Linked DNA regions of Saccharomyces cerevisiae S288C. The gene in region 2 interacts genetically with the main gene of each other region. Each region holds a gene or a part of one and is shown on either strand. Other genes may lie near its edges. The genes, in order: RIM9, KIN2, BUD8 and RIM101.

Region 1 (7,016 bases), on a different chromosome or scaffold from region 2:
GAAGAAGATTTTCATAACAAATACTCGATAGTCGCTGATAATTTCCACTATAAGTTGTCCACCACTGTGAAGATGATTCTAGTTCAAACATACAATCCATCATTGATCCTAGGTCGTCAACCATGCAATTTTCTGGTATTTCGCCCAAGCCAGATGCCTGAAACTCGCATATTGAAAGTTTAATGGCCGTTTCTACCCTTGTTTCAGCGTCAATGGATTCAAGTCCATTTGCAATACATTGTGGCAAAAATAATTTTAGTGCGTCTTTAACACATGTTGATTTCAAGAATGGAAATTTGGATTCTAATACATTTGTCGCAACGGAATTATCTGTGTATATCAATCTTCCTTGCAGCAGATTGTTGATTTTTCCTAGTTCGGAGCTTGAAACAAACTTAATACAAATTGCAAACAAATAGACGTAGCGCATTTCAAACATTCAAAGTTTTTGAATAGAAACAGTTGTTGAACCAGAATATGTATACTTCATTGGTATTCCGAACCAGTGTTTATATATAGAAAATTTGTTCAGGATTAATCCCAAACAATTATGATAAAACAACCCGCTAGTGTGACACAGTTACAGTACGTATTCTTATTTACATTGTTTATTTGCGTGGAATGCGCAATTCCCTTTGCAGTGAGTTGCTCTTATGCTGCCTTTTTTTTAATATAGACGATTTATGGGCGTAAAGCTTCTCGTTCAGTGCAATTCAAATATTTCTCGATGAAGTACTTTTTAAATTCCTTATTATAACCTACAGCGCCCGTATTCTTAAGCGCGTGATTTCTCTCACTATTTTTGAGAGCCCTAATAATTTGTAGTTGGTATTTATGACTTAGTTTGATCTTATATGTATCTATCATATGAGCCATCATAGTGTAATTTCCTTGAAGTGCAAAAGACAGTATAAATTTCTCCACGAATTCGCTGGGCACGTTTTGTCCATATATTGGGCTCACTATATTGAAAACAGTGGATAGATTTCCGGAGTTGATCATTGGATCTTTAGTAAATGTTAATACTTTTTTGATAAAAATAGGTAAGGTGCTATCCACAGCCCGTTTTGCGTTATTGGATTTTCGAATAATATTTAGCAGAGAACACAATTCGTCGAAATGCCGGCACATAGGTATCAAAAATTTGAACAGGTCTATTGTTCCATAATTTTCTATTATGGGTGCAAGATCTGCTATGAATGCAAATTTGGATCTTATATCAAAAATCTTAGTGCTTTTATCGAAATGAACATCAATTGCCTCCAAATATCTATTAATGATAGTAGCCTCTGGTAAAATACCCTTTTTTATTAAATGGCCCAAAAAATTTTTGCTTTCATTCAAATTGCCGGTTTTAATGAAATATGATAATAGTTGTTCAATTACTATTGGGTGCAATGAATTTTCGCAACGCCCTGGAAAAAATCTGTTGTTGATCGCTGCCAATAGGTTTTCTAGTGCGGTAACCAATGTGGGACTGTACGGTGGGTTTTCATTTGCTTCCACTTTACAAAGGATATTATATAAAATAATGTTCATGGCCTTCATTTGGTCTAAACGTGAATATAATTGCATCTCAGTAACATTTATTAGTAGTATAAGTTTTTCAGTCGAGTTTCCATAATTCTTTATCAAATAAGCCAGTATATTCTCGCAAAATAATCTTGTCTGTTTACTGTCGCGGTCAAAAATATTCTGTAGTTCATTATTTACGGACTCGACCCTGGATTGCAAATCATTCGTGTTTTCAATCTCTGATAATATATTTTCAAGACCTCTTAATTTGGCAATATCGGTTGAAGACAAATGCAGAACGTGAAAAGATCTAACGCTTTTGCTCGCAGGTGTAAGTACAATATTTCTTTGATGTTGTCGTCTTGCAACGAATTCCATCAACCATTTATTCACTCCCCTAATATCATCAAACTTTAATTTGCTATCAACTAGTATGGTTTTTAGGCTCACCGGGTGTTTTATCAGTGATGGAGCAATTTTTTTGCCATCAAGCAGGCTAGGATTGTATTCCGTAGCGCATGCCGTGAATTGTTCTATTGCTGTTGGTTGGTAAAATGGGTGAATTATTTCTTCCGGATGAGGAACTTTATCGGCATGTTTAATGATCTTTCGACCGTCCGCTACTAAAGGAGTCTTTTTAAGTACTGGGTACCATTTGCGAGATTGCATCCTAATGAAGCACAGGTTTCTCCATTTGCTGATTTCTTGCACTGTAGTAATCATTTTCTAAGACCCTTAACAGATAGTGATGGAGGAAGAAAAAAATGTACAAATATTTGGAAGCCGATTGGCAAACCGATGTAACGTGCAAAATGACACATGATGTTACTTATTCAATGAACCCTCTATATGTCACTTCTGGAGCAATCAGACTATCTGTATGTGTTGGAGCCACTTCATATTCTGAGCTATTGCCGTTCTGTTTACTCTGGTAAATGTCGGAAATTGAGTACTGTTCCATTGAGCACGCATGCGCAATTGACTGTTGCGATTCATATTTTTTGACTGACACAACTCTTCTCATGACCCACAGCATGGAACAACAAAGTGCTACGCTAATAGTAGCGGCTAGCATTAGCCAGCCGGGCCAGTCCAGTTTGGAGATGAACAGAAGAATATCTACCAAAAAACATAAAAGACATAGCATGAACGTTGGCAGCGAAAAAAGGGCCGTGAACAATAACATCTCAGGTGAGTCCCCTAGTGGAGTTACCATGATAATCACTGCTAAAATTAATAGCGTTCCTGTGAATGCCAGTGAAATCGGGTGAACCACTAATAAATTGGAGACGACCACTTTTGAGTTCGATGGCAGGGTCAAAACGTGCCCGGAGGAGTCGACATCTGTACTGTCATATCCTATCTTCATTTTCGTGCACATCAATTCTTGGTTTTGACCACGTACACACCAGCCAAACAGGCCATAATAGTGGTTTCTGAATGACGATAACGATAGGTACTTGGTCACGGGGACGGTTATTAGCGGAAGTATTTCGAACATGGTTGTGATTGCTAGCAAAAACACCACAATATGGATCATGCTAACCATTCTCCTCTTTTCCTCAATGAATCTGTCTCAACCGTATAAATCTTTGTTTAGAAGGACGTCTCTACTCATTTCCCGGTTCTCAACGCTCATCACTATCTATCTATATTCATTGTTTCTTAGCTTATACTTGCGCGCGCCGCTGGTGAAAATCAAACTATAGCGAGATTCGACAATAAATTGGCAGTTACTTTTAGTGATAAAGAAAAGTCATGTTTTGTATATAGTCATAGCATGCTGTGTTGTAAATGTGATCTGTCTGAGACGTGTCAGTAGATCATAAATTTACAAACATTAAAATACATTTTTCATCGCTGTATAGCAAAAGTAATCTTATACTTTGTTGGTATGCTGAAGTAAAACACAGGGCTCTTGGCTTCACCCCCACGCTGTATCATAGAATAAAGAGAGTAGTGATGCAATAGGGCCGTGGTTAGACCCAAATTGAAGGTAGCGTTGATAGTAGTACTAAGTGAGAGTGCTTAGCAATCATTATTGACGGTGTTTTCTTGGCGAAGGTCTTTTTCTACTGCGATGGACAGGTAGGATGACTCACTGCGTAATTCGTTGCCAACTTCTTTAGTCGTCGAGTATATAAAAGCCTCATCCTCGGCTCGCCGCACAAAGGTGACGATTTTTGGGCTAGTATCAGCAATACTTCTATTCCCTTTATTTAAAGAAGTCCAAAATTCAACATAGCATGAGAATATCATCAACATTGCTTCAACGCTCGAAGCAGCTTATAGATAAGTATGCATTATACGTGCCCAAGACGGGCTCTTTTCCTAAAGGATTTGAAGTAGGCTACACTGCATCTGGAGTCAAAAAAAACGGGAGCCTGGACCTGGGTGTAATCTTGAATACCAATAAATCTCGTCCTTCAACCGCAGCAGCTGTTTTCACGACCAATAAATTCAAAGCTGCGCCAGTTTTGACATCGAAAAAAGTCCTTGAAACTGCTCGTGGTAAAAACATCAACGCTATTGTAGTCAATTCCGGTTGTGCTAACTCGGTCACAGGTGATCTTGGTATGAAAGATGCCCAAGTAATGATTGATTTGGTTAACGATAAAATTGGTCAAAAAAATTCTACCCTAGTCATGTCTACAGGCGTTATTGGACAACGACTACAGATGGACAAGATCAGCACTGGTATCAATAAAATTTTTGGAGAAGAAAAGTTCGGCAGTGATTTTAACTCTTGGTTGAACGTAGCCAAATCAATCTGTACTACTGATACTTTCCCAAAATTAGTTACATCTAGATTCAAATTACCTAGTGGTACTGAGTATACTTTGACAGGTATGGCAAAGGGCGCGGGTATGATTTGTCCGAATATGGCTACCTTATTAGGTTTCATAGTTACAGATCTTCCTATTGAAAGCAAGGCGTTGCAGAAGATGCTGACTTTCGCTACTACCCGTTCATTTAATTGTATATCGGTGGACGGTGATATGAGCACCAATGACACAATTTGCATGTTGGCCAACGGTGCTATTGACACCAAAGAAATTAACGAAGACTCTAAAGATTTTGAACAAGTAAAATTGCAGGTCACAGAATTTGCTCAGCGCTTGGCCCAGTTAGTCGTTCGCGATGGTGAAGGTTCGACAAAGTTTGTTACTGTTAACGTTAAAAATGCTTTGCATTTTGAAGACGCCAAAATAATTGCTGAATCAATCTCAAACTCTATGTTGGTCAAAACCGCACTATATGGGCAAGATGCCAATTGGGGAAGAATATTGTGCGCGATCGGGTATGCAAAGCTGAATGACTTAAAATCTCTAGATGTCAACAAAATTAATGTTAGCTTTATTGCTACCGACAATTCAGAACCTCGTGAGCTGAAGCTTGTCGCTAATGGTGTGCCACAATTGGAGATCGATGAAACAAGGGCTTCTGAAATATTGGCTTTGAATGATTTGGAAGTGTCTGTCGACTTGGGAACCGGTGATCAGGCAGCACAATTTTGGACTTGTGATTTATCACATGAATATGTAACAATTAACGGTGATTACCGTTCATAAATTCATGTATATTTTGTTCAATCTTTCTTTTATAAGCATGGTTATATAAACGCACAGAAACAGAGTGTTTCCTGTACCTTCTGAATGAGTTTGGCTATTGCCATATTTTTGAAAGAATTAACTATTTCCGTTTTTATTTATGTACGAGGCACCTTAACTATCCTGTCACATCGTTTTTTTTTTACTTAATTACATACAGAGGTTCGCCTATTATAATAGATGTGTTGGTATAAATATTCATATATACCTATTTATTAACGTAATGTTAACCTGACTTGGTGCTCTCAACTGTTGGAATCTCTACTTGATCATTTAAAAAATTCACCAATTTCTGCGCATCGAGTAAATTTGTATTAAAATATTGACGTTTTGGTATAACGCTCAATAAATCAAGAACCTCTGTTGGAAGCTCTGAGTCTCTTTTGAATTTCTTATTGGAGAAGTTTCCATTGTTTCCAGTTTCCTCCATTAGTCTCTTTCTATCTGACGAACTCATATTGTAAGAGCCATGATGGCCATCCCCGTTTCCAGAAGAAAAGTAACTGTCTTCTTCCTCATTATACATATAAGTTAACTCTAATTTCTTTATTAAGTTGGAGTTTTGAATTTGATAACGACTTGTGAAAACTTCAATCAAATTTTCTTGGGGGAACCGTTCGAAAAATCTTTTCTCTAGAGAATAAACGTTGTTTAAGTTACCGAATTTCGATTCATAACTTATCATTTTCTTGTATATTTCCTTCAGCTGGGTTAAATCTTGCACTTTTTCCACTGATGTTTCAAATAAGGTTTTGATCTGCGAATCCTTATTTAAAAATATTAAAAAATCTAAGTATTTGTTGATATAAACTCCATCGTTTTGGAAGTATTTTAAACCCAATTCTAAAACCTTAAAAGCAGTCTTATAATCGTTTTGATTTTGAAATTCTAAATATGCATTTTCCACGTAGACGTCATGTGTTAATATACGCTTCAGTTTACGACATTTACCAAATACAGTACGTGCTGCGGATAGTCCTGATATTCTTTTCATCGTATTCATATACACGCAAAACACGAATGTTAATTTTTCCCTCTGTTTGTATAGCAGCTCTTGTTCATACTCTGTGTTATTATCTTCACCCGAATTTACATCGGAGGCGATCTTTTTATACTGCGATAGTAAAGTTTGAGTGCACTTGTCAAAACAGTTAGAAACACTTTCAGAATCATTATCCAGTTCGTAGCATTCGGATAACTTGAATGTAAGAGAAGGTGAGTCGGGATTAGCTAATAACGCAGTATATAAGATATTTTGTCGATCCGAATTTTCAGATATATACATTGAATAATCGTACCACATTTCAGCAGAAAATATCATGTATTGAATACCTTGTTTATAAACGTAACTGATTCTTTGTGATAGCATATCTTCACTAAGCATCAACTTATTCTCCCTTTCCCATTTTATCCAATTCAACCAAATCTGTAACTGCTGAATGTTTGAGTCTGAGGTACCTGGTTGTGGTATGTTTTTCTTGTTTGCTGTGCGCAGATTAATTGGAGATGCCCTTTTCAATCCATTAGTAACGTTCAACCATTCCTGGTATAAGGAACGGGCTTTCATGTATTCGGCTGATAACTCGCCAATAAATTTTCTGGCTGTTAGGGAATTTATTTCTTGTTCCCATTGAGTGTATCTATTCCACATTTTTTCTAGATTATCAAAAGGAACACATAGCATTTTCTTGTAGAATTCTCTGAGCATGTCAATTCGCTGTTGCTCCTCCCATTTGTTGAATGGCTTCCACTGCTCTAAAAAATTGAGATATTCGTTCCAAAAAGAAGATGATTTGGGTTCAAAAATTGCACACTTTTGCATAACTAGTTGGAATGCCTTGACAATAACAGCTCTCGCCTCTTGTCCACCAGTAATTAAGTTGTTTTTTC
Region 2 (9,752 bases):
TCTGGGCTGGCATTTAGGATTGCCCACGAAATCGGCCTACATTTGAATCCAGAAGCATGGAGTAATGTTTATGAAGACGAGCTGTCAATAATGGATTTTGAAGTGAGAAGTAGAATTTATTGGGGCTGCTACATTGCTGATCATTTAATAGCGATCCTCTTTGGAAGATCAACTTCCTTGCGTTTGTCCAATTCCACTGTTCCAGAAACAGACGAGCTACCTGAAATTGAGACTGGTATAGAGGAGTACATATATGACCCAAAAGTAATATTGTCCACTGCAAACCCCTTGAAGAAACTGATTGTGTTATCGAGAATAACGGAGATTTTTGCATCCAAGATTTTCAGCCCAAACGAAACTCTACTTCAAAGGAGTGAATACTTGGCCAAATTTAATCTGGAGGTATACAATTGGAGAAGGGATTTGCCCCCTGAACTACAATGGACCAAGAGGTCATTGATGGAAATGACAGATTTTAACCCAACCATAGCTTACGTATGGTTTCATTACTATATCGTGCTAATTTCCTATAATAAACCTTTCATATACGAAATCAAACAAAGCCGGGAATTGGTTGAAGGTTATGTTGATGAACTGTATTATCTTTTAAAAGTTTGGAAAAATAAATTTAAGACGTTTGAGAAGGCCACAATTTACATGATTTATTCTGCGATTTTAGCCATCCAATGCATGAAGTCCAACTTGATTAAAAAGGATAGAAAACAAGACTTCTTAAATTTTTTAAGTGCGCCTACCCTGAATTACGAACTTGCTAGAAAATTCATAGAAAACTCTGAAGATGCTTTGCATAATTCAGAAACTATGGATTTATTAGGGACTCTATCTCACGGTAACGATTTTGCCTTAGAGTACAATTTTGACTTTACTTTATTGAATGAGATTGATATGCTGATTGGTGGAAACACCAATGATGGTTTGTCGAAGTAATCTTGAGTGAAGAGGATATGTTTACTTGAACAAATATTCTTTATGTAATGTGTTTGTAGCCTTTTTATTTGGGAAGGAATATACCGCTATCCTTTCCCACCTCCGAACTTATCGATTCGGAATTTTAAAGAGCCTTCCAAATGACAAAAAAAAGGATTGTAGTTCCTAGATAGCGAAATCGACTGAGCAAGATAAAAGCAAACATTCCCCATCATCTTTGGCGACGACACATGTGTTCCATAAGCTAAACTCAAGGAGCAAATGATAGTAGATTATGAAAAGGACCCTAGGGCTAAAGAGGCTATTGCTATTTGGGAAAAAGGTGTACTGAAAGAGAAGGATGGGTCAATGTCAGATGCTATAAACTTCTATCGAAGTGCATTGAAAATCCATGATAATGTGGAATCACTGTACAGAAAAAAAATACTTGATGAGTGGATGCTGCACAAAAAACTATCGGGATTATCAATGACTACTGATGCTCCAGATGAACAAAATGAAACCGGTAAAGATGACTTATCTGTTGAAGAAAATGCTGAACTTCAACCCTGCTGGATTCTGGAAATCTTGCCTGACGACATTTTACTGAGAATTATTAAAAAAGTTATATTAATGTCTGGTGAATCTTGGGTGAATTTGTCGATGACTTGTTCCACCTTTAGCAAGCTTTGCTTCCACGATTCTGTGCCATTTAAAACTTTCGCGAAGTACATATATTCTAAGCAAATATACGACAAAATGGCAATGGATCTTAACGGAATCACCGATATAAATACCTTTGAAAAGGAAATATGGCGGGGTGATGATTATCGTATGTTAAGGGAAAGGCCATATATTAAATTCGAAGGTGTTTACATCAGTGTAGTAAATTATGTAAGATACGGTTCCAATGCAGAAAGTTCGTTATCTCTTTTAAAGCCAGTTCACATGATCACCTATTACAGGTATTTCAGATTTTATGAGAACGGCCAATGTTTGAGATTACTTTCTACAGATGAACCTAGCGCTGTCGTGAAGCACTTCTCCAAAGAGAACAAACCCAGGCATAGTCATATGTGTTATTGGAGCCTCGGATTTGATTATGATTTTGGTCATTTAAAGATAACAAGGTCAGATGAAAAGTATACGTTTATCGAAGAATTCCAAATCAAGAATCAAGGCAATAAGAGATATCAACGGTTGAAATGGCTAAGTTCAATTGTAGTGGATAAGGAAGGGAATGCATCTAACTGTTCGTTGAGAAATGAGAAATCTTTTTTCTTCTCCAGAGTGAAATCTTTCAAGGATCCTGGATGACATCGATGTTTTTTGCAGTTGTTTTACTTTATTTATTATTCTTATAGATTTATGTAGAACTATTATTTCATCATATGAAAGATTAAAGAAAGCAGATCTCAGCTTAAATAAATTATACTATAATATTAAAAAAAGATAAATATTAGATAATAAAAATTGAAAGACACACGTTGAAATATTTAGTAAGAACAACGTATCTATAGGTTTAATTCTTTTAAAATATACGATGCCAATTCTTTATATAGCCACGTATTACCAGAAACCTTTTTGAAATGTACACCTGCTAGGCCGACGATACGAACCTTTACAATGTGAATCTCAAATTTAATAGGAGGCCTTTCTTTTATACCAGAAGTATTGGTTTGCTCTGTTTGACCATTTACGTTATTTATATTTTGGGCTCTTGATGTTGTTAAAATATCATCCTGTTGTTGAACATAATCTAATGACATGGAAGATAGTTCCCCTGATGTACCATTACTTTGGTTTCCGTAGTTTGGAGACATTGGGATAGATGAATTTCTTTGATGTGTATTGGTCGCTAAAGGTGTTAGTGGTATATTATTCTGGCCCCTCTTATAAGAACCTTGGCGTTTTATCGAACTATTTCTTGATGCTGAGGACGCTGTACTATGGTAACTGGATGATAATTGACTGTCTAAACTATTTTGCAGATCCATCGCCTTTCCGGAATCCAAACCCACGCCAGTAGTGGTTATAACAGGGACAGCTGCAGTCTCAATAGATGGCCTTTGTTGGACACATATGAACCCGCCTTTCACTTCTTTGAAATCAATATTCATTCTTGTTAAAACAGATATGATATTGTGACGAACAATAGGCAATGGTTTAGAGGAGGTTGTTTGTACAGAGAAAAAACCCTTCAAAAACATTGACTTTGGATAATCAATTGATGGCATAGACCCGGGGGGTGCCTTTGAAGCTTCCTCCAAAATTTGCTTCTCAGTAAGCTCCTGAGAATACACCGAAGTCAGTCTATTGTTAGTATCGTTACTGTATGTGGTAGAATCTTCAGGAACGGTCGAAAAGTTACTGCTAACAGGATTGTATCTCTCCTTGTTTGCCTCTCCCAAAAAGCCGTTATCGTTTGTCATATCTGATGGCGGAAGGGCTGCTGGTATAGGCGGCCTAGTAAATTTCAAAGATTCACGACGAGCATGCCCCACCGATTTAGCCCTTGCACTAGGATGTAACTTACGACCCTTCGGAACGGAGAGATAATGGTCACTATTATCATTATTGATACCATCGACTACAGCGTTCACATTGTTGTTATCATTATCATTAATTTGTAATTTGTCGAGATTTTCCTGTAATAGTTTTTGCCGTTGTTTTTGAACAATTAGTTCGGCGTTCTGAGGTAAAGCTGGAAGATCACTGTTTTGCTTTTGTGATACTGACCTTATAGGAGGTGCTATGGTAGTGTTTTTAGCGGGTTTCTGTTTTACATCAACAGAATTTGGCACGTAAGATGGATATCTTCTAGCGCTAGGAATATAATCTGATATAGTACGACTATGGCTTTTCGGTACTTTGATGGAAATTTCATTTGATTTTGACATATATGTTGGAGGTTCTCTTTCTGGAAGAGGTTCCTGTTGCCGTGTGGGATGCTGAGATTGTCCACTTTGTGATATTCTTCTGAATATGCCGCCTATTGTATTCTTTTCCTGATGTTCACCTACTACGGGTGAAGCAGAACGTTGCTGATATTCGCCAGACACGGGGACTGGTGTTGATTTCAAAACACCATTTAATTCCGTATGAATGTCGGAACTCTTCCTAGATGTTGGAGAAGTATGCGCTTGTTCCGGTATTGTTAGTTTAGGAGGAACCATTACATGCAGTGGAGGTTTGTTTGAGGTATTAGTGTTGTTTGAGGTTCCCGATGTTCCAATTGCCGGCACTTGAAAAATACCAGGATTAGGTACTACTTCTTTCTGAGGGCTCCTCATTTTGGTCATAATATCCGGGGAGTTATTATTTAAGGCGACCTTAGTGCCAAGTGCTACTTGTTGCTGTTGTTGCCTTTGCTGAGCTTGCGCTTGCAGGGCCAATGCTTGCCTTCTTTGCAACTTCGCTAATTTCCGTGCAACCATTTCTGAAACCAAGTGATATATTGATAGTAATGGATGATATGCTAAAGTAGGATCTTCAAAATTACTATCTGGTTCATTATAACCACTTTGCGATGGATTACTTGTAATATGATTTTGTATTAAGGTTTGTTGTGCCGTTGAATTTAGGTAGTTATTATTTAAACTTGAACTCAACCCCTTGGCGTTGGATAATTTGTCCCAGTATTCTTGGGAAAGTTGGATGTATTCCTTTTCAGTTACTAATCGGATCAATGATCTTCTTGTATCTTCAATATCGTCAATAAATTCTAGGCGATACATTTCCTTCAGAACTTGGCTATCTATCATTTCAGGGGTTAATGGAACACGATTAGGAACATATGATGGAGCCTTAAAATCGTATCCTCTGTTCATCCATGGATGCTCAACGACATTCTTTAATGTTGCTCTTCTTAATGGGTCGACAACAATCATCCTGGTTAATAAAGATATAACTTCAATGGATAAGTGTGAAGGATAGTCTACTTTACCTTTTTTTATTTTTTCATGTAAAATGCTTGAGTTCTCATCATCAAATGGTACTTTACCGCAGACCAAGACATAAAGAACAATACCAAACGACCAAATATCTACCTCAGGTCCTGTGTATGGCTGCGCTTTTAATAGTTCTGGTGCTGCAAAGTACAAGGAACCACAAAACGTATGTAATTGTTTCCTATAATCAAAAATGTTGGAAAGACCAAAATCAATGATCTTAATTTCACCTGAACTAGATATCATTATATTCTCAATTTTCAGATCTCGATGAACAATATTATTGGCATGTAAGTATTGCAGCGCACTAGCTATACCTCTGGCAAATTTCCTCGCATGGTGTTCCTTTAATGAGCCATGCTGAATAATATAATCTAACAGCTGTCCACCGGAAACGTATTCAAAAAGCATATAAAAATGGTTTGACATAGTGCACATTTCAAATAAACGACAGATATGAGGATGGTAAAGGATTTGGCCCAAAGAGGCTTCCCTAACAGTCCTTTTATCCCTCGCAATTTCTTTTTCTAACCGCTTTTGTCTTTCTAATATCTCACTCTCATTCTTTGGGGAAGGTAAAGAGTGCTGTTTATGGAGATAAGCCTTGGAAGCCCTATTAACAATCTTTATTACACAAATTTCCTTTGTTTGACGATGCTTGACCAATTTAACTTTACCCATAGAGCCTGCGCCAACCGTTTCAAGGAACTCCCAATCTCCCAAAGATCTTCTATGAAATTGCCTTAATTCCACGGCGCCATTAGGCCTCGATGCATCATTTTGTCTCTGAGCTGCCTGTTCCTTGCCCTGTTTGATATCTGCAGGAGGCATCAGTGGTGCTTGTTGCTGGTCATTTCTTGGTCCAGATTGCTTGCCCATCATGCGAAGAGTGGCTGGTGCAGCAACTCGCGTGTCGTTGAAAGCTTCTGGCGTCGGCGATAAAGATCCGCCCTTACTGGTCCTGAAATTTGGATTCACCAAGTAATCTGCTGTATTCGGATTAGGCATAGTGAAATACTTAACAATTGAGCCGCGATATTAATGGCACAATAAAACTTTTAGAAATTTCTTTTGAAAAGCGTTTCTCGGTACCTAATGCTGTTCGCGCTCAGAGTTCCGCTGAATTTCGTGTAATGCAGTATATTTTGTAATAAAGTTCTCGTGGCCCGTCCTTGACTGTGAATTTGTGTCAACGGCGTGCTCTATTCCTTGCTTAAACGGTGGCAAAGCAGGACTTCTAGGTCCACTTGAGCTCTTCTTTTCCTTTTCCAACCTTTTTAAATTTTCGTTGCTAGACCAAGTTACCGCTATCACCGCACACGGAATGCGAGAGCGTCAAAAGTGACATAATTCTTCCTTTCCAGCAACATTAACATTTATTTATTCAATAGTGACACGACTAAGAAACTAGATCAATTGCTCTATTTTACTCATACACACTGGCTAATCATATATAGATACAAAGCGGTGAATCAGCGATCGATGAGAACGAAGAGAACTAGGGGTACAAGAAATGTAGGAGCGAGCATGCCTGCCGGCGCTGCGAATGCGGATAGTGAAGACTGGAAAGAATATGTCTCCGAAGACATAATAGCCCAATTGAACAAGCACCAGCTGCCGTATTCTGAAATATTAGATGAGAAGATCGCGGACTTGGCCAATCACTGGCACTTCCAGTATGTGATGGCTTGGCTTTCCAATGTCTGCGAATCATATACTACAACGACATTTAATACTGACCAGTATGGCGGTAGCTCTACCAAATGCTTGTGGAAGAATATCAAATTCGATGAAGGTGTATTTGTAACTGACGTATTTTCGAAGATAGACGGGAAGGACTCGAACTATTACAATGATGAAGTCGACGTAGATGAAGGATCGCAAAATTTGTACGACAGAATTAGATTGCAATTATTGCATCAATTAGCGGGAAATAAAAGCGGGCAATTGAAAGATTGGAATGTTATAGTTAACCATCACTTGCAAAACTCGAGCGCGTATTCAGATTTGGTTACGGACTTACCTTTTTTGGAGCTTGAAATTGCACGCCAATTCGACATCATTTACAGTATCATAAAATTAATTGAAATGAAAAATATGATCTTCAAAAACTACTTAGCGAATAACTTGCATCTGTTTACGTTTAGTGAAGTTATACTGGATGATGATAATAGTGGAGGGGAGGAAATGAAGAGCTTGTTTGCCTTACCCAATGTTGGTGTACTCGTAAAGAAAACCATTCACAGAGTAAAAGAAGGCTCTTCCTCCCAAGTCTCTCAAACTCTGAATATCCCAATAAAACTACAGAACTGTACTATAAAAGAAAGCGACCCAGACATTCCTGATTCAGTGGAGCTTATTCATCTCGAGTACTCTCACGATATCGATGCATATCTTCAATCGATTACAATTGATTATGATGTGATTACAACTAATTGGGGGTCCATGCTAGAATACTGGTCAGAGAATAAAAGTTCGAAAGCCATAGATGAGTTCATAACTAACTTAATACCGGTGTATGCCGAACATAGACTATATTCGGCAAAACTTTTGGCCAACAGAGAAAAGGAGAGAGCAATTGCGGAGCTAATGACAAGGAGGAAAAGATCTTCGAGACTGGTAGCGAAAGAGGAAGAAAACAAGAAAAAAGACTTGGAAAGTGAGTGGTTTGAAAAACTAGATGAAAGAGAACAATTTATAAGGCACAGAAACAAGCTAGTGTCGAAGGAAATCAAAAAGATAAAAGATCTTCTTTGGAACCAATTGTGGCAATTGTACGATCAAGATTATAGAGATGAAAAATTGACCAGGCGTAACGAGCTCAAAGATAGAAGTGGTTCTGGTACACCGTTTTTTGAAACGTCTTTGGGCAGGGAGGAGGACAATCCCTTAAATGAAATCGATATCGGAGTTCTTGATCACGGCCCTAACTTTCAATCTAGTATAATCCCGGTGGAACCACCAATTCCTGGAACTGTTGGGCCACTACAGACGGGAGACGTCCCTGAATTGCCTAGTGACTTCTGCATAACAAAGGAAGAGCTAGATGAGCTTGCCAACTACGGGATCTTTACTCCGCAGCAAGAGCCCGACAACCAAGATTCTGTTTTCCAATGTCCGGGCGAACCAGAGCTGGCGCCCATGATTATCACCGAAGACACGGAGACTGACCTCTTCAATAACCGCCCATTGATATGCTGTGATCATTGTTACAGGTGGCAGCATTGGGAATGCCAACCTCCAAAAATTATAGAGCTTATATCTTCAACCACAAAATCCCCACAGCACACGCTGTCGCAACGTGATTTTGGCGTCATCATAATGGGAAATTCGCACGGCAATAGAAGGTCTTCTCGCAGACCCCAATCCACACTTGAACCCAGCACCAAGTCTTCAAGACCTACTGATAAACGCAAACCGCTGTCTGAATGCTCCACTTTTATCTGCGCTTGGTGCATCAGGGACTTGGAACTTGAGCTGCGCAACATTTTTGTGCCTGAATTGAAAATAATAAGGGCCAAACAAAGAAAACAACAGGAAGACCGTGAAAGAAGAAAAAAAATGAAGGAAGAAAAGAAAAGGCTCGAAGAGCTTGCAAAGAAAAGGGAACTAACCGAGTCTGTCTCACCTCCAGTGTTTAATAATGCATTTGCAAACATGTCAAGTAGCACAACGCCTAGTATCGCCGCTTACGAAAAAACAAATCCAGCCATCAATCCAGCACCTAATGTAAATGCCGCTCACCCCATAATTACATACTCGCAGCAAACTGGCAGCAAAACTGTACCACAAGCACCACAGGCACCACAAACATCACAAGCATCAATCCAACCACAGCAGCAACAGCAACAGCAACAGCAACAGCAACCGCTGCACCCTAAAGAACAGAACTTTCACTTCCAGTTCCCACCAACCAACTAGCCTCATATAGAAATACACAGCAAAAGTATATAGTAAAATATATATCAACTGGTTCTTCATGAAACTTTCTTTTCCAGCCGCACATCCGTAGGGCTTCTGTCGCTTCATGTCGGGTAATAATGATGCTTAGGGCTTAGCGCCAAAATAATTAGGGTGTATGAGGCGGCTCCTGACTAGGGTCAGACGGCATTTTTTCGTCTTTTTTTATCCGGTTTTTCGTCAGTGGCCATCCTTAATGCGCGGCAAAGGTGCTGAAGGCGCCTTATTGTGTTAAAAAAGCCAATGAAATAAAAGTGGGATGGTGAGAACGCCAAACGAGTGAAACAGAGAATGGAAACTCGCTTCTTCACAAGTATTTGATGGCTAGTTTTCTCAATTACTTGTTTCTTTGGATAGACACGAACATACAGAACACTTTCAACAAGACATAATTATAGAATGCTGCTGGACGTGAACACAAATCACACACTAATGCACGATGCTCATGTGCATGAACATTGCCTCATCAAAAGCATACGTGATGATGGCGCATTGCACTCATGGAGCGACTCATCAAAGGTATTTTATCCCAAGTCATTTTACGCTACCGCTACTAATAAGAAGAATAACAAGTTAGCCAGCGCCAGCATGAACAAGACCGCCACAAGTAATAGGACGGTGAGCGATGAGATTTATTTCCACTCCACTAAGCCGCAGTTCGATGGTCAAGGAAGCGCTGAACGTACTAGAACACTAACCAAGAGGAATAGCTTCAAGAGGACTAGAATACTGAAGGCTCGAGACGATTCCGAACTGCTGAACGAAAATCGCTCATCTTTGATGACCCCGTCCTTAAGCTCGGTCATGTCGCAAGTTAGGAAAACAAATTCCGCCAAGACGTTATCGGGCGAATGCCCCATACATGAGGGCCACTTAACACAGAGCATAAAGAGGAAGTTCTCCGAGGAAGCTCAA
Region 3 (8,055 bases), 500 kb from region 2:
AATTCCCCATTAGAGTCAAATAAAAGGATGCCTCACGGAGGTATGTTACCCGCGCTATTTCACATGGCTCATTGAATTAGAGGTGGAATTTGGTGTACCCTCCCCTCCTCATCTGATGAAGTAGTGATCCGACAATTCTTAAAAGTTGTAGACATTACTCTTACCACCAACTAAGTTGTATTTATATTGCTACCCTTATCCTTTTATATCTAACTAGCGCTTATAAGGTTGGGGCAATACTAAAACTGTGATCTTATTCAGCTCATTAAATACGTGGCAGTACGTACCCTATTAGAAACAATAGGAAACAACAGAGTCGGAAGAAGCCAAATGCCAGATTTGAAGTCCAAGACCTTGTCAAGCCAATCTTTGGGAGCGGCTATTCCTCCAGAAATTGTGTACCAAATACTTACATACCAGTTTAGGGATTTGTTAAGAAATGACCATCCAGGTACGGCAGAAAAGTTTAACGAAAACTTAACTACATTTGTCAAAAGTAATTTAACTGTTAATAAGACATTCTCCCATATTTGTCAAGTTCTCATTTATAGATATTGTAATTTAACTACCGCAAAGAGATTTCACGGTCTTTTACAGACTTTAAAGGGAAATAGATGCCTTTGCAATAAGATTGAAGTAGCCGATTTCCAAGAATTAACGTCTATTGGACTGGGGAGGTCCAGTGAGATGAATAAAATGATTAAAAATCTAACTAACGAAACTCTTCTTGAGTTTCTAATGCTCACAAAAGCAAACTTAAGGGAATTCTTAGCATGTGAAAATATTCAAGACGATTTAGACGATAATATCATAAAGTATATTCTATCTCCAGGAAAAGTCTTGAGTGTAGTGGATTTCTGTGGCTGTTCAGGCACCACTTTCACAGAAAGTTTTATTAAGGCCCTGGATAAATACTACCCTAATAAATCGATTGATCAGTACCGGCTGGAACCTATTCAACAAAATTATCAGATTACCTGCTTAGGCCTAAATGATTGTATTGATCTACCATCACACGTCCTTTGGAAGATCTTAAAAATGTTACCAGAACTACAAAAACTTGATTTATCTCATACCTCCATTGATGATAGTACCTTATATCACGGCATACCTCACTGGAAAAATTTAACTCATCTTTCCCTCGCTACTTGTCTTCAAGTTACTCCAAGAGCGGTTCTGGAGTTTTTTAGTCATCACCCAACAATTACAGACCCTGACAACACTTCTACATTAGAATGGCTGAATGTTAGTGTCATTGCCCATTCCTCATCTTGGAATGAGGTGCACACAATGTTTTTACTAAAAAAACTTTGTCAACATGGCCATAACAAAACTTTGCAATATCTAAATATCGGCGGTTTACCGCTTCATGTTGCACCTTCTTTCGGCGAGGACCCTATTAGCGAATCCACTTATTATTACCAATGCCGCGATAGCTTACAGTTCATAAAGTGGAATTTTCCGAAGTTAAAAAGTTTGAGTATAAAAGGTAATAGTATCCCGATATCTACGCTCGTAGAATTTTTGACACCAATTGATCAAGACCATCCTAATTGTGCTCAAAAATTGAAGTTTTTGAATATTTCTGGTAACTCTTATGTGAATAAATGGACTATTCAGGACTCATTATTGTACACTTGTTCTCCAAGTTTAGTCGCGTTAGAAGTTTCCTTTGACTCGTGGCAACAGATTGAAAAACTAAATGATAGACATGAAATTATTGCATACAGATATAAAAACCCAAATTCGGTAATTAAAGATATTTCAACAGCAGAACAAGTAAAGTGGAAATGTTACATTGATTCTTCTTATGGTAGGAGATATTGGTTATATAAGACTGATCCTTTCCTGAATCGTGATGACTTGGATTCTAAGTCAAATTTAACTAGGTATGATTTTGAGGGTCACAAAATCATAGAAATTATAAACCAGCCGGATTTCCTAAAGTTTGCCCAAAGTAAAATCATGCTTGGATGTGGTCTAGTTCCTCAAAGTGGTATTAGACGTAAACTATGTTACAGAGATTTAAAGCCACCAGTTTCTCAATTCTTAAATAGAAAAGGTGCGATCAGCCTTGGTGATACTCCACTACCAATAATTACCCCAACATTACCTCGTGGTGGGTGGAGAATCATCCATAATGAGGACGACAACAACAGTCATGTGGAAGATAGCCAAAATCACGTGAATGCCATCCCAAGAAGGAATTCTCTGTTGAGCAGACCCACTTTAAGAAGCAACAATGGTTCTTCCTCTGCCAACCCCTTTGCTATCAATGTTTCTCCTGCATCTCAAATCAGGGATGGTTTGTACTGGGATAGGTCGGTCCATGATTTACGTGAGCTATCATTGCAAGAACAAAGAATTCAGGAGTTAGCTGATGAGCAGCAGGAACTAAGAACAATCGCAAACTTTGAAGAGACTGACGACGAATATTTGCACGATCCCGACTTGCAACGGAGAAGGTCCCAACTTCACTTATTTGAAAGTTCGCGCTCACGTTCAGGAAATAAAACAAGACCAAGTTTAACTGGTGAACACTCGTCCTCGGCATCGTTTCTATCCTTCTCCCACTTCAACCACCTTCACAAGCGTAAGAATTATTATTTCACGCATCCCGATGAATTTGTCTATGATCCAAAGGATCCTCTGACGACTCAAAGATATAGATTACATTTTGAAATAGTCAACGAATATCAAGTTTTTGGGTGCATTGAGCGTGGAATGTATAGATACTACAGTTTAAAAGCATAGATATTTTTCTCTTTACTTCCTTACCCTTCCTCCGCTCTCGTCTTGTGTCTTGTATATGATTTCTATATATGGTAAAATATTGCATACATCGTCTACCATTTAGCCAGACTTTTCGGAAACGAATTTAATGATTGCAGCAAATTCCCTTCCCCTATCAACTGATTGAAGAATGCCTCGAAACGCAATGTGATTTTTAAGTTTTCCATTTTTTTTTTTTTCATAAGGGAAGCCTCTCTCCTCCGAAAAAGGTAAACATTGCGAAAAATGATCCAAAAGAGAGAATAAAAAAACAATTAGAAAATGATTTACTCATCCGCTTACTAGAGAGGCCAAACCGGATAGTCCTGACGCTAATAAGAGTAGGATTAAGTTCATTGTGGTGTGTTTTTTTATTGCGCGTAAGCGATACCTGCAAAATTCATTATAATTTTCAATCACCTTCCATCAATTATCAATACCCCATACTAAGAACAGGCAATTGGTTTAGGAAGGAAAATAATAAAGATATCCAAAAACAACTGGAAGCTTTCCAGTCGCGACCTCTGTTTTGTTCGAACTTCTAGTTAACAAAAGAAAGACCATTCAATTGCTTTTTTAATATTCATTATTGACGATTTTTATTTCTAGGCGATTACCGGTATACTTTTCATTCTTTTGATAAGATAATAAATCCAATTACATTCGCTTATTTTAATTCAATTTAGACTATAACTTTCTCTTAACTCTAGGAGTTTCTTTCTTGAATCGAAGCATTTTTGACAATACCCAATATCCTCTTTCTACTTGAGAATTTTTTCGATTCTACATGAAGTATGATACAATCAGACGAAGATAATTTGGACTCTTCTGAAACGACAGCATCAACTTCATATAGTGGTACTTCCTCTGTATCATCCAGACTACAACTAAGAACATCCTTGTTTTTTGAAAATCTTAATGGAGCACATGGGAACCCCGATGCGGAGACAGAGATGGCTACTGTTGCCTATGAAACCACAAGTAGAGGTCAAGGATTTGCTGTATACATCAACAATGAAAGGTTTTCTCAAATAATGGGAGCATCCACAAGCTCTAGCTCTAGTAGCAACTCGTCCTCTATTACACAATTTCACGATACCCAAGATAATAATATACCAAGCAACACTACTGTAAGGCCAACTTCACTTCGACGAGACAACGAGGATACCGTACCGTTAAGGAACGTAACTCCTTCACAAAACGCGGCGGTACGGCCAGAAAGAGCAGTGAATTCACCATCTTCGCAGAGATTAAGTTGCGCACTGACAATATCAACTTCAGTTCTTATGGGAGAAGATGTTGAAGGAAGCCCTATAGAGCAAGAGCATAGTAGGGTCGTATCTTCATTATACTCATCTTTGGCGAATCGCGGGAACGACGAGTCAAAGAATGGAACACCTCCACGTCCTACCTCAATTGAACCTAATGAAACAACGGAACACTCATTTTTCTCATACCATTACGATGACACCTTAGAACCAGATGTTGAAGAGGCAGTGAGGCTAACGAAGAATAAAACTTCTAATGTTAATTTTATAAGCTCAACTGGCAGTAAAGGTGAAGGCGAGACCGAGGATGAAGTCATAGATCAATACGAACCTGTGAATGAATCAAAATTTATACCGCACAAACTAAAAATTCCAGAGAAGGCTGGATCAATAAAGTCGTCGACAAGTGATGATTCGCATTCGCCAGGTGCGCCAGGTACGTCGGCAAGGAAGATTAAAATTCCTCAGAGTCCATCGTTAATTGGTAACATATTGATTCCTTCACACAATAGTGACAGTAGTAACGAAAGTTCTCCTAAAGACCATATAGGGCATAATAATGAAGAAAAATTCAGTTCAAAATCTACGCGCAAGCCCTCCACATCCCTAGAAGAAGAAGGTCCACCAATTGGACTACCTTCAATTCCCGTATTAAGAAGTGTGTCCGGACCAAGCAAATGGACGAAGACACCTTTACGCTTAGAATCTGGAAATTCAACTAAGTCTGATCCATTTTCACGCTATGAAGGACACAAGACGCCCTCTCCATTGACCAAGATGAACAAGAAGAAAAATAAAACGTTGCCAGAACATGGACAACCCCTCGTGCTAGCTCCAATTAAATCTCAAAGCTCGGAGTCAGACACGGGACAGAACTCCATTATAGAAAAGCCAGCTCGAAGCATACGACGAAAGCAACAAGAAAAAACTGATAATAGGAAAGAAGACAGGCACGATGCTGAAAATATAGACCTGGAGGCGAGAATGCCAATTCAACATATCGATACCGCTTCCATTCATTCGTTTGATTCAGGTCAAAATGGATTCAGGGACGTTTACAGCATCGAAAACATCATTGTGATCCTCCTATGTTGTAGTATAGTGCCGCCATTATTTTTTATTATTGGCTGCAGCTCAAGAAGGAAATTAGTTTCAGACTATAGATTAATGAGGTTGCTTATGAATAAAGAACACCGAGCGGCTTTGCTGCAAGGATTCATATGGGACGTTGATTTAAGGTGGTTCCGGATGTTTTGTCTGATCTTAGGGGCTGCCGAAACAGTGATTGTGATGGCCGGTATTGCTATTGGATTTGGTGTGGGTATAACACGTGAATAAGAAACTGTATCATTCATCAAATAGGATAAAAAATAAAAAACTGTTCTGTCTCGTTAAAGTCATATATATAAATAGGGGATTTTCATTAATTTATATATATAGATATACTTGTGTACATGTACCCGTAAGTATCAAAAGAAACGTGCATAAGGACATGGCCTAAATTAATATTTCCGAGATACTTCCTTAAGCGGTAACTTTCTTTTCAATCAAGTCGAATAGAGTAACAATATCGGCAGAGAATTTTCTGATACCTTCGGACAATTTTTCAGTGGCCATAGCGTCTTCATTCAAGTCGAATCTGAATTTAGATTCGTCGCTGATGTAAGAAATCTTGTCGCCGGCTTCCTTCTTAGCGGAGACAGGGTCCAAAACTCTTGGGAAAGGTTCAGTACTGTTCATCAACTTGTCCAATAAAGCTGGAGAAATTGTTAGATAGTCAACACCAGCCAAGTTTTTGATTTCGTCAGTGCTTCTGAAAGAAGCACCCATAACAATAGTCTTGTAACCGTACTTCTTGTAGTAGTTGTAGATTTTCTTGACGGAAATAACACCTGGGTCGGCTTCACCCTTGTAATCTTTACCAGTGCTGGATTTGTACCAGTCTAGAATTCTACCAACAAATGGGGAAATCAAAGTAACTTGGGCCTCGGCACAGGCAACTGCTTGAACGAAGGAGAATAATAGAGTCAAATTACAGTGGATACCGTCCTTTTCTTCCAATTCTTTGGCAGCTTGAATACCTTCCCAAGTGGAAGCAATTTTAATAAGGACTCTTTCCTTGGAGACACCTTCTTGTTCAAACAATTTAATGATATGTCTAGCCTTTTCAATGGTAGCTTGAGTGTCAAAAGACAATCTAGCATCAACTTCGGTGGAGACTCTGCCTGGAACAATCTTTAAGATCTCCTTACCGAATTCGACTAACAATCTGTCCACAGCATTTTCGACTTGTTCTTCGGTGGTCTTACCATGCTTCTTACCGTATTCCACGGCAACATCGATCAACTTGGCGTAAGTTGGTTGCTTGGCAGCAGCCAAGATCAATGATGGGTTAGTTGTGGAGTCTTGAGGTTGAAACTTGGCAATAGAGCCGAAATCACCAGTGTCGGCAACAACGACAGTGCCGGAGGCTTTCAATTGTTCTAGAGAGTTGTTAGCAACCTTTTGTTTCTTTTGAGCTGGTTCAGACATTATGTACACGTATATGTGACGAGTTCGAGAAGTATTTTACTATCGTACTAAATTTTACCTGAAAAATTATATACTCGAGAAAGAGGAAGCCAAGAATTGAGAAAAAAGAAAAACCCGCGAGTAAGGAAATTAAATACAGGTGTACACATACACGCACACATATATATATATATATATATGTATATGTGTATATAGGAAGCGCGCGCATGTTAGTATATACGATTCGTTGGAAAGGGGCCGTCCACCAAACGTGACTTGACGAGTTGACAAATTGACCTCAATATGGCTCAGTCAGTAATTTTTAGTTCCGCTTTATTCCCGCCATCTTTCAGGCCACGAGGGTAGCTCATAACGCCGCGCTAATGCCGCTGCGTCACAGCAACCAGTAGCTCAGCCAAAACCGAAAGAGAAATCGTAGCTGTCCCGATGAGGACTTATACACTTGTCACCATCTAAATAAATTATTTATTCGCGTTTCGGTTCTTGTTTTCGATTTAATTAGATTGTTCATTGAATCATAATAAATATGTAAAAAATATATATATTTGAAGCTGCTTCAGAAAAACAGGGCTTCCTAGTGTACAGATGTATGTCGGATGAAAAAAAAAAAATCTTAAATGTGAAATTGGGTCAATTCAATTGACTATGACTTGATGTTGCAAAAATTCCAAGAGAAAAAGTTTCCAGCACTTGATATTATTTTCCTCTTTATTGGTTTTCTGGTCTCAACTTTCTGACTTCCTTACCAACCTTCCAGATTTCCATGTTTCTGATGGTGTCTAATTCCTTTTCTAGCTTTTCTCTGTAGTCAGGTTGAGAGTTGAATTCCAAAGATCTCTTGGTTTCGGTACCGTTCTTGGTAGATTCGTACAAGTCTTGGAAAACAGGCTTCAAAGCATTCTTGAAGATTGGGTACCAGTCCAAAGCACCTCTTCTGGCGGTGGTGGAACAAGCATCGTACATGTAATCCATACCGTACTTACCGATCAATGGGTATAGAGATTGGGTAGCTTCTTCGACGGTTTCGTTGAAAGCTTCAGATGGGGAGTGACCGTTTTCTCTCAAGACGTCGTATTGAGCCAAGAACATACCGTGGATACCACCCATTAAACAACCTCTTTCACCGTACAAGTCAGAGTTGACTTCTCTTTCGAAAGTGGTTTGGTAAACGTAACCGGAACCAATGGCAACGGCCAAAGCTTGGGCCTTTTCGTGAGCCTTACCGGTGACATCGTTCCAGACGGCGTAAGAAGAGTTAATACCACGACCTTCCTTGAACAAAGATCTGACAGTTCTACCGGAACCCTTTGGAGCAACCAAGATAACATCTAAGTCCTTTGGTGGTTCAACGTGAGTCAAGTCCTTGAAGACTGGGGAGAAACCGTGGGAGAAGTACAAAGTCTTACCCTTGGTCAACAATGGCTTGATAGCAGGCCAGGTTTCTGATTGAGCGGCATCGGACAACAAGTTCATAACGTAACTA
Region 4 (4,039 bases), on a different chromosome or scaffold from region 2:
GGGTCCCACGACTACTACTTCAACGATTATCCACTACCGCAGGTCATGAAGTTGATTTATGCCGTTGTAATTGCCTTTGTATGCACTCCAGTGGCCATCATCGTCATTGTGTTGAGAAACCAGTTTCACGAGGAACTTTACTATGAAGGCTTAGCAAACGGTACGCTACAGCAGGATCAAGAAGTTTGCTCCACGGGTAATCGCAGCTCGGGATCAACCGATCAAGATATCAGTACTACCAAACAACAGTCTCAAGAAGCGGTAGCGTGAAGAAAAGCAACAAAAAAATAAAAGCATGTGCGAACTCTAGTTTAATACTTAATAAACTATTAATACTTTACAATTAGCAATCTATAATATACCCACCTTAACAAATAATTTTTCCTTTAACCATTGTTACCTTGTTTAATCCGCGACGCCGCGCTAGGGCATGTGTGATTTATTCATTTACTATACAGCCGCAAAGAAACAACTAAGAATAAAATATCCGACAATCCATATCATACCAAAATTTTGGGATACTTGGTCAAGATGCGAACTGAGTTAGTTCCCATTTGGTTTTGTAAACTCAATTTTTCTAAAGATTCTTGCAAGAATGCGTTTTCTTCATCTTTGTCCTCACTTTCTTCATCATCTAAATCTTCCATGACACAGCACAACAAGTAGTCCTTGATAATGTTCACTATACCCAACATCTCTACGAAATCATCCTCTATCTCGCTTTCGTCATCTACTTCTTCAATCGCCAGCTTACTCATGATAATATCATTAGTACAGCTTTTTTGGTTCAGGCTAAATTCCCAGTTAGGCTTCAATGAAGTTCCACCTGCCATTGTACGGCGCGATGGTAACATTGGTATCTTTGATTGTAGAGGCGGTAATATAGAACAGCCACTGGAGGAATAGCTAGGCGCAGCACGAACAGATGGATAGTGTGGCATAGCATACTGTGATTGGCGGTTGAAAACACCACCGGCAGTGTTCGAATGTAAAGGTGGCAAATGTTCAGTAAGCGAAGGACCAGTTGGATACTTGGCCAACCGTACTGGCACATAAGTTGCTGTATTTGCAGTGGCCGAAATAGAGCTACCACCTTGTACGGATTGGTATGAAGGAGCATTAGGTGGCTGCACATAGCTTGTTTGTGCTACGGGGATGCGCCCAGATGATGACGAGGACTCAGTACTACCACCGCTTTGTTGCAAAATGTAGTTATTTGTCATATTTCTCGATAGTTTGGTGAAGAATTGGGTGGCGTTTGCTATGGTCTTATTAGAACAACCGTCCTCGTAGACATTCATGCTCCGACTGTTGGCACCTTGGCTTACCGTGCTGCCGTTATTGTAGTATAATGGCGGCAAGATCGTTTGCAATCTGGCACTCAATTGTGGAGAATATACCGGCTTATACTGAGATAGCTCGTCTGAGCATAGTTGGTTTAAGGAAATAGCCCGCTGCTGCTGTTGTGAAGGCAGATGTTGAGATATACCCACGGGCAATGGGGGTAATATCTGTGGAGAAGTAGAATGTGACTTAAAGCTACCAGCTATAGCGGAAGGCACAGATGCAGAACAAGACGACACTGCGTCGCTTGCACAACTTTTGTTTTTCTTAGAAGTTCTTTTTGAGCCCCATTTGGGTCCCCTCTTTCTTTTCAAAATACCGCCACTTTCCAGATGAATTTTCAAATGCTTTTTTAAATCTTGCGGACGTTTAAACTTTTTGGAGCACGTAGAGCAACCGAACGGTTTCAATGGTACGTGAACTCTCAAATGCGAGGTGATATGGTCCCTTTTCTCCGTCTTCGTGGTACAGTCTCCCCAATGACAATTCAATTGTAGGTTCTTATGTGACTTCCTGCCAACATGGTCATGACACAGATGATTATATAGCAGCTCTGGTTGGTTGAAAATCATACCACAGTTGTCCCATTTACAATATAGTGTTATATCCTCAGAATCACCGTCATTATCCGCATCGTCGTCATCACCTGCCGGGTTATGCGCTTGTGCCAATGGCGAGGAGGAGGACGAGTCAGAGGAAGATGATGTGGTGGGTGAAACTGCCGAAGCGCCCAATAGATCGTATGGAGGAGTGTTCAAGTGTGAAGTACTATGATATGGTAAGCATGATGAAGAAGTGCTGCCTGGTGACATCCGTTCATCTTCTTGACCGTTCAAGCCAATAGCTTCCGTGGTACACCTAATTCTAGGCCTCTTCGAACAATCAGAAGACCTTTTAGATAGGTTAGGACTGGGCAGCCCGTCCTTCTTTGTGACGTTAGAAACGTCTGTCCCATTTTCTACTATACTCTCCCGGCTGTGTTGAGGTGCGGCAGTGCCATTTTCTTTATTAAGCAGATCTTCCAATGGCACCATCTTAAGTCAATTTAAACAAACCTACTTTACCGTTTTCAGTATTTTATCTTTGCACTTGTTCAAAAAGTGTTGTGCAATAGCAATATTACTTTCTCAGTGGAAGTGATAACAGACCAATAAAAAAAAAAAAGGTTATAGACGGTGACTCTTATGAAAACATTTAGTTCCTTTCTATATTATTGAGTCTTAATTTTTTATCTTTTGTCTCGTAGATTGGCATCCCTCACCCGTCTGAAATGATTTTATAAGCCTCCGTCATCTCGGACGTAATTTTAGAAACTCCGAGCTGGACGGCTATTTTATTTTCTGCGCCGTAATCTGTGAATCACAGAGAATGTCTCGCACGAACGCGGTATTTAGATTATTGTGCCTGCTGTCACTGGGCAGAGAAAAGTATGTACAAGATAACAGCGTTATTGTCGTAAAGCATTCTTTTGAGAACATTCGAAGGAAAAAAACAAAGTTCAGAATTAAAATTATGTATGTATTATCGTTCGTGGAATATTTATTACGTATAAGAGCTGCAGTCTTTATTCGTTCATTAGCCGCAGAACCCTCCTGGAGTAGTCTACGTTGTCTGATAACGAAATGGTAGAGTGGTTTGTGGCATCGTCATTTGCTAAAGTGTTAAGCATCTTACTTGGGTCTAGCCTCTGATCCACCAGTACCGTGTCTTCACCTAGAGTAACGTTTGATTCCATTTTTTCGTGTTGCTTTTGAATGGGCGAATGAAGAAAAGTAGAAGTTCTTCTGGGAAGAATGGGATCGTGAAATGGGCTTGCCAACGTGCTTGGGTCATTTGGTGGACTGCCTGCAGTCAAGGAATACGTAGATTGACGTGGGGATGGTGATTCAGACATAATTTGTCCCTTTTCATCAGTGTATATTAATCTTGGGGTCGAGAAAGTTGAATTTGAAGATGGTGAAGGCGTGTGTAACGTGGTAGTGGTAACTTCATTTGGGTACTTGGACTGGTAAAACTTACTCTGATATTCATTCTCAAAATCTTGAGCCTTCCGAGCGGGTCTTGTTCTATAATGATGTATTAAGTATATTAGTATGCATATAATTACCAAACATACCACTCCAACCACGACGAAAGTAGCGGCTATTTTCCCGGGCGAATCCCAGTACCCTTTCTTTTCTGTAGACTTGTTAGTTGGTGTATTGCTGTTGGTGGTGTTACTATTGTTATTGTTTGTTATTCTACCACCTACGCTGGCAGACGTAGTAGCCACTGCAGAAGTAGGAGTAGCCCCGAGGGTGGAAGAGTAAATCTGCGTTATTACTTTTTTCATGGTGAGATATCTCGAGGTGATTTCCGAAATGTTAGTGTCCATGGTGTGCACTGAAGTCACTGTTATCACAGAATACTTTAAGGAGGTCTGCAGGTTTACAGAAGTTATAGTGGACGTTATTGGAGATGCTGTGGTACTGGTGTAAGTAACCGTAGTGCTTGAAGGGGCTGTACTGGGTGATGTCGTAGTGAACGTTGTGCTCGTTGGTGTTGTATTAGACGAGCTTGTAGGTGCTGAAGAAGAAGTTGGCGATGTTGTACTTGTTGAAGTGGAAGTTGACGACGTCGTGCTTGTAGAAATGGGGGCTGACGATGTTGTGGTTGGAGTTGATGATGATGATGATGATGTGCTCGTGGAAATGAG

Evidence for each region.
Region 1: mutations in KIN2 (region 2) and RIM9 together harm fitness more than expected from each alone (negative genetic interaction), as found in Saccharomyces cerevisiae (2 studies listed by BioGRID).
Region 3: mutations in KIN2 (region 2) and BUD8 together harm fitness more than expected from each alone (negative genetic interaction), as found in Saccharomyces cerevisiae (3 studies listed by BioGRID).
Region 4: mutations in KIN2 (region 2) and RIM101 together harm fitness more than expected from each alone (negative genetic interaction), as found in Saccharomyces cerevisiae (2 studies listed by BioGRID).

The regions. Positions count from the first base shown.
Region 1 is NC_001145.3:393,125-400,140, reverse strand, and holds RIM9 (Rim9p), read right to left. Parts: upstream 3,065-7,016; coding exon 2,345-3,064; downstream 1-2,344. Other genes in the region: KAR5 (Kar5p), read right to left, coding at 1-439; AEP1 (Aep1p), read right to left, coding at 682-2,238; ARG7 (glutamate N-acetyltransferase), read left to right, coding at 3,762-5,087; cleavage polyadenylation factor subunit RNA14, read right to left, coding at 5,353-7,016. UniProt on the Saccharomyces cerevisiae protein: Required for the proteolytic cleavage of the transcriptional repressor RIM101 in response to alkaline ambient pH, which is necessary for sporulation and invasive growth.
Region 2 is NC_001144.5:328,723-338,474, reverse strand, and holds KIN2 (serine/threonine protein kinase KIN2), read right to left. Parts: upstream 5,886-9,752; coding exon 2,442-5,885; downstream 1-2,441. Other genes in the region: CHA4 (Cha4p), read left to right, coding at 1-948; SCF ubiquitin ligase complex subunit HRT3, read left to right, coding at 1,210-2,244; IOC2 (Ioc2p), read left to right, coding at 6,360-8,798; GIS3 (Gis3p), read left to right, coding at 9,237-9,752.
Region 3 is NC_001144.5:830,786-838,840, forward strand, and holds BUD8 (Bud8p), read left to right. Parts: upstream 1-3,566; coding exon 3,567-5,378; downstream 5,379-8,055. Other genes in the region: LUG1 (Lug1p), read left to right, coding at 331-2,754; sedoheptulose-7-phosphate:D-glyceraldehyde-3-phosphate transaldolase TAL1, read right to left, coding at 5,565-6,572; ILV5 (ketol-acid reductoisomerase), read right to left, coding at 7,281-8,055. UniProt on the Saccharomyces cerevisiae protein: Involved in positioning the distal bud pole signal.
Region 4 is NC_001140.6:49,450-53,488, reverse strand, and holds RIM101 (alkaline-responsive transcriptional regulator RIM101), read right to left. Parts: upstream 2,379-4,039; coding exon 501-2,378; downstream 1-500. Other genes in the region: YHL026C (uncharacterized protein), read left to right, coding at 1-270; WSC4 (Wsc4p), read right to left, coding at 2,909-4,039. UniProt on the Saccharomyces cerevisiae protein: Transcription factor that mediates regulation of both acid- and alkaline-expressed genes in response to ambient pH.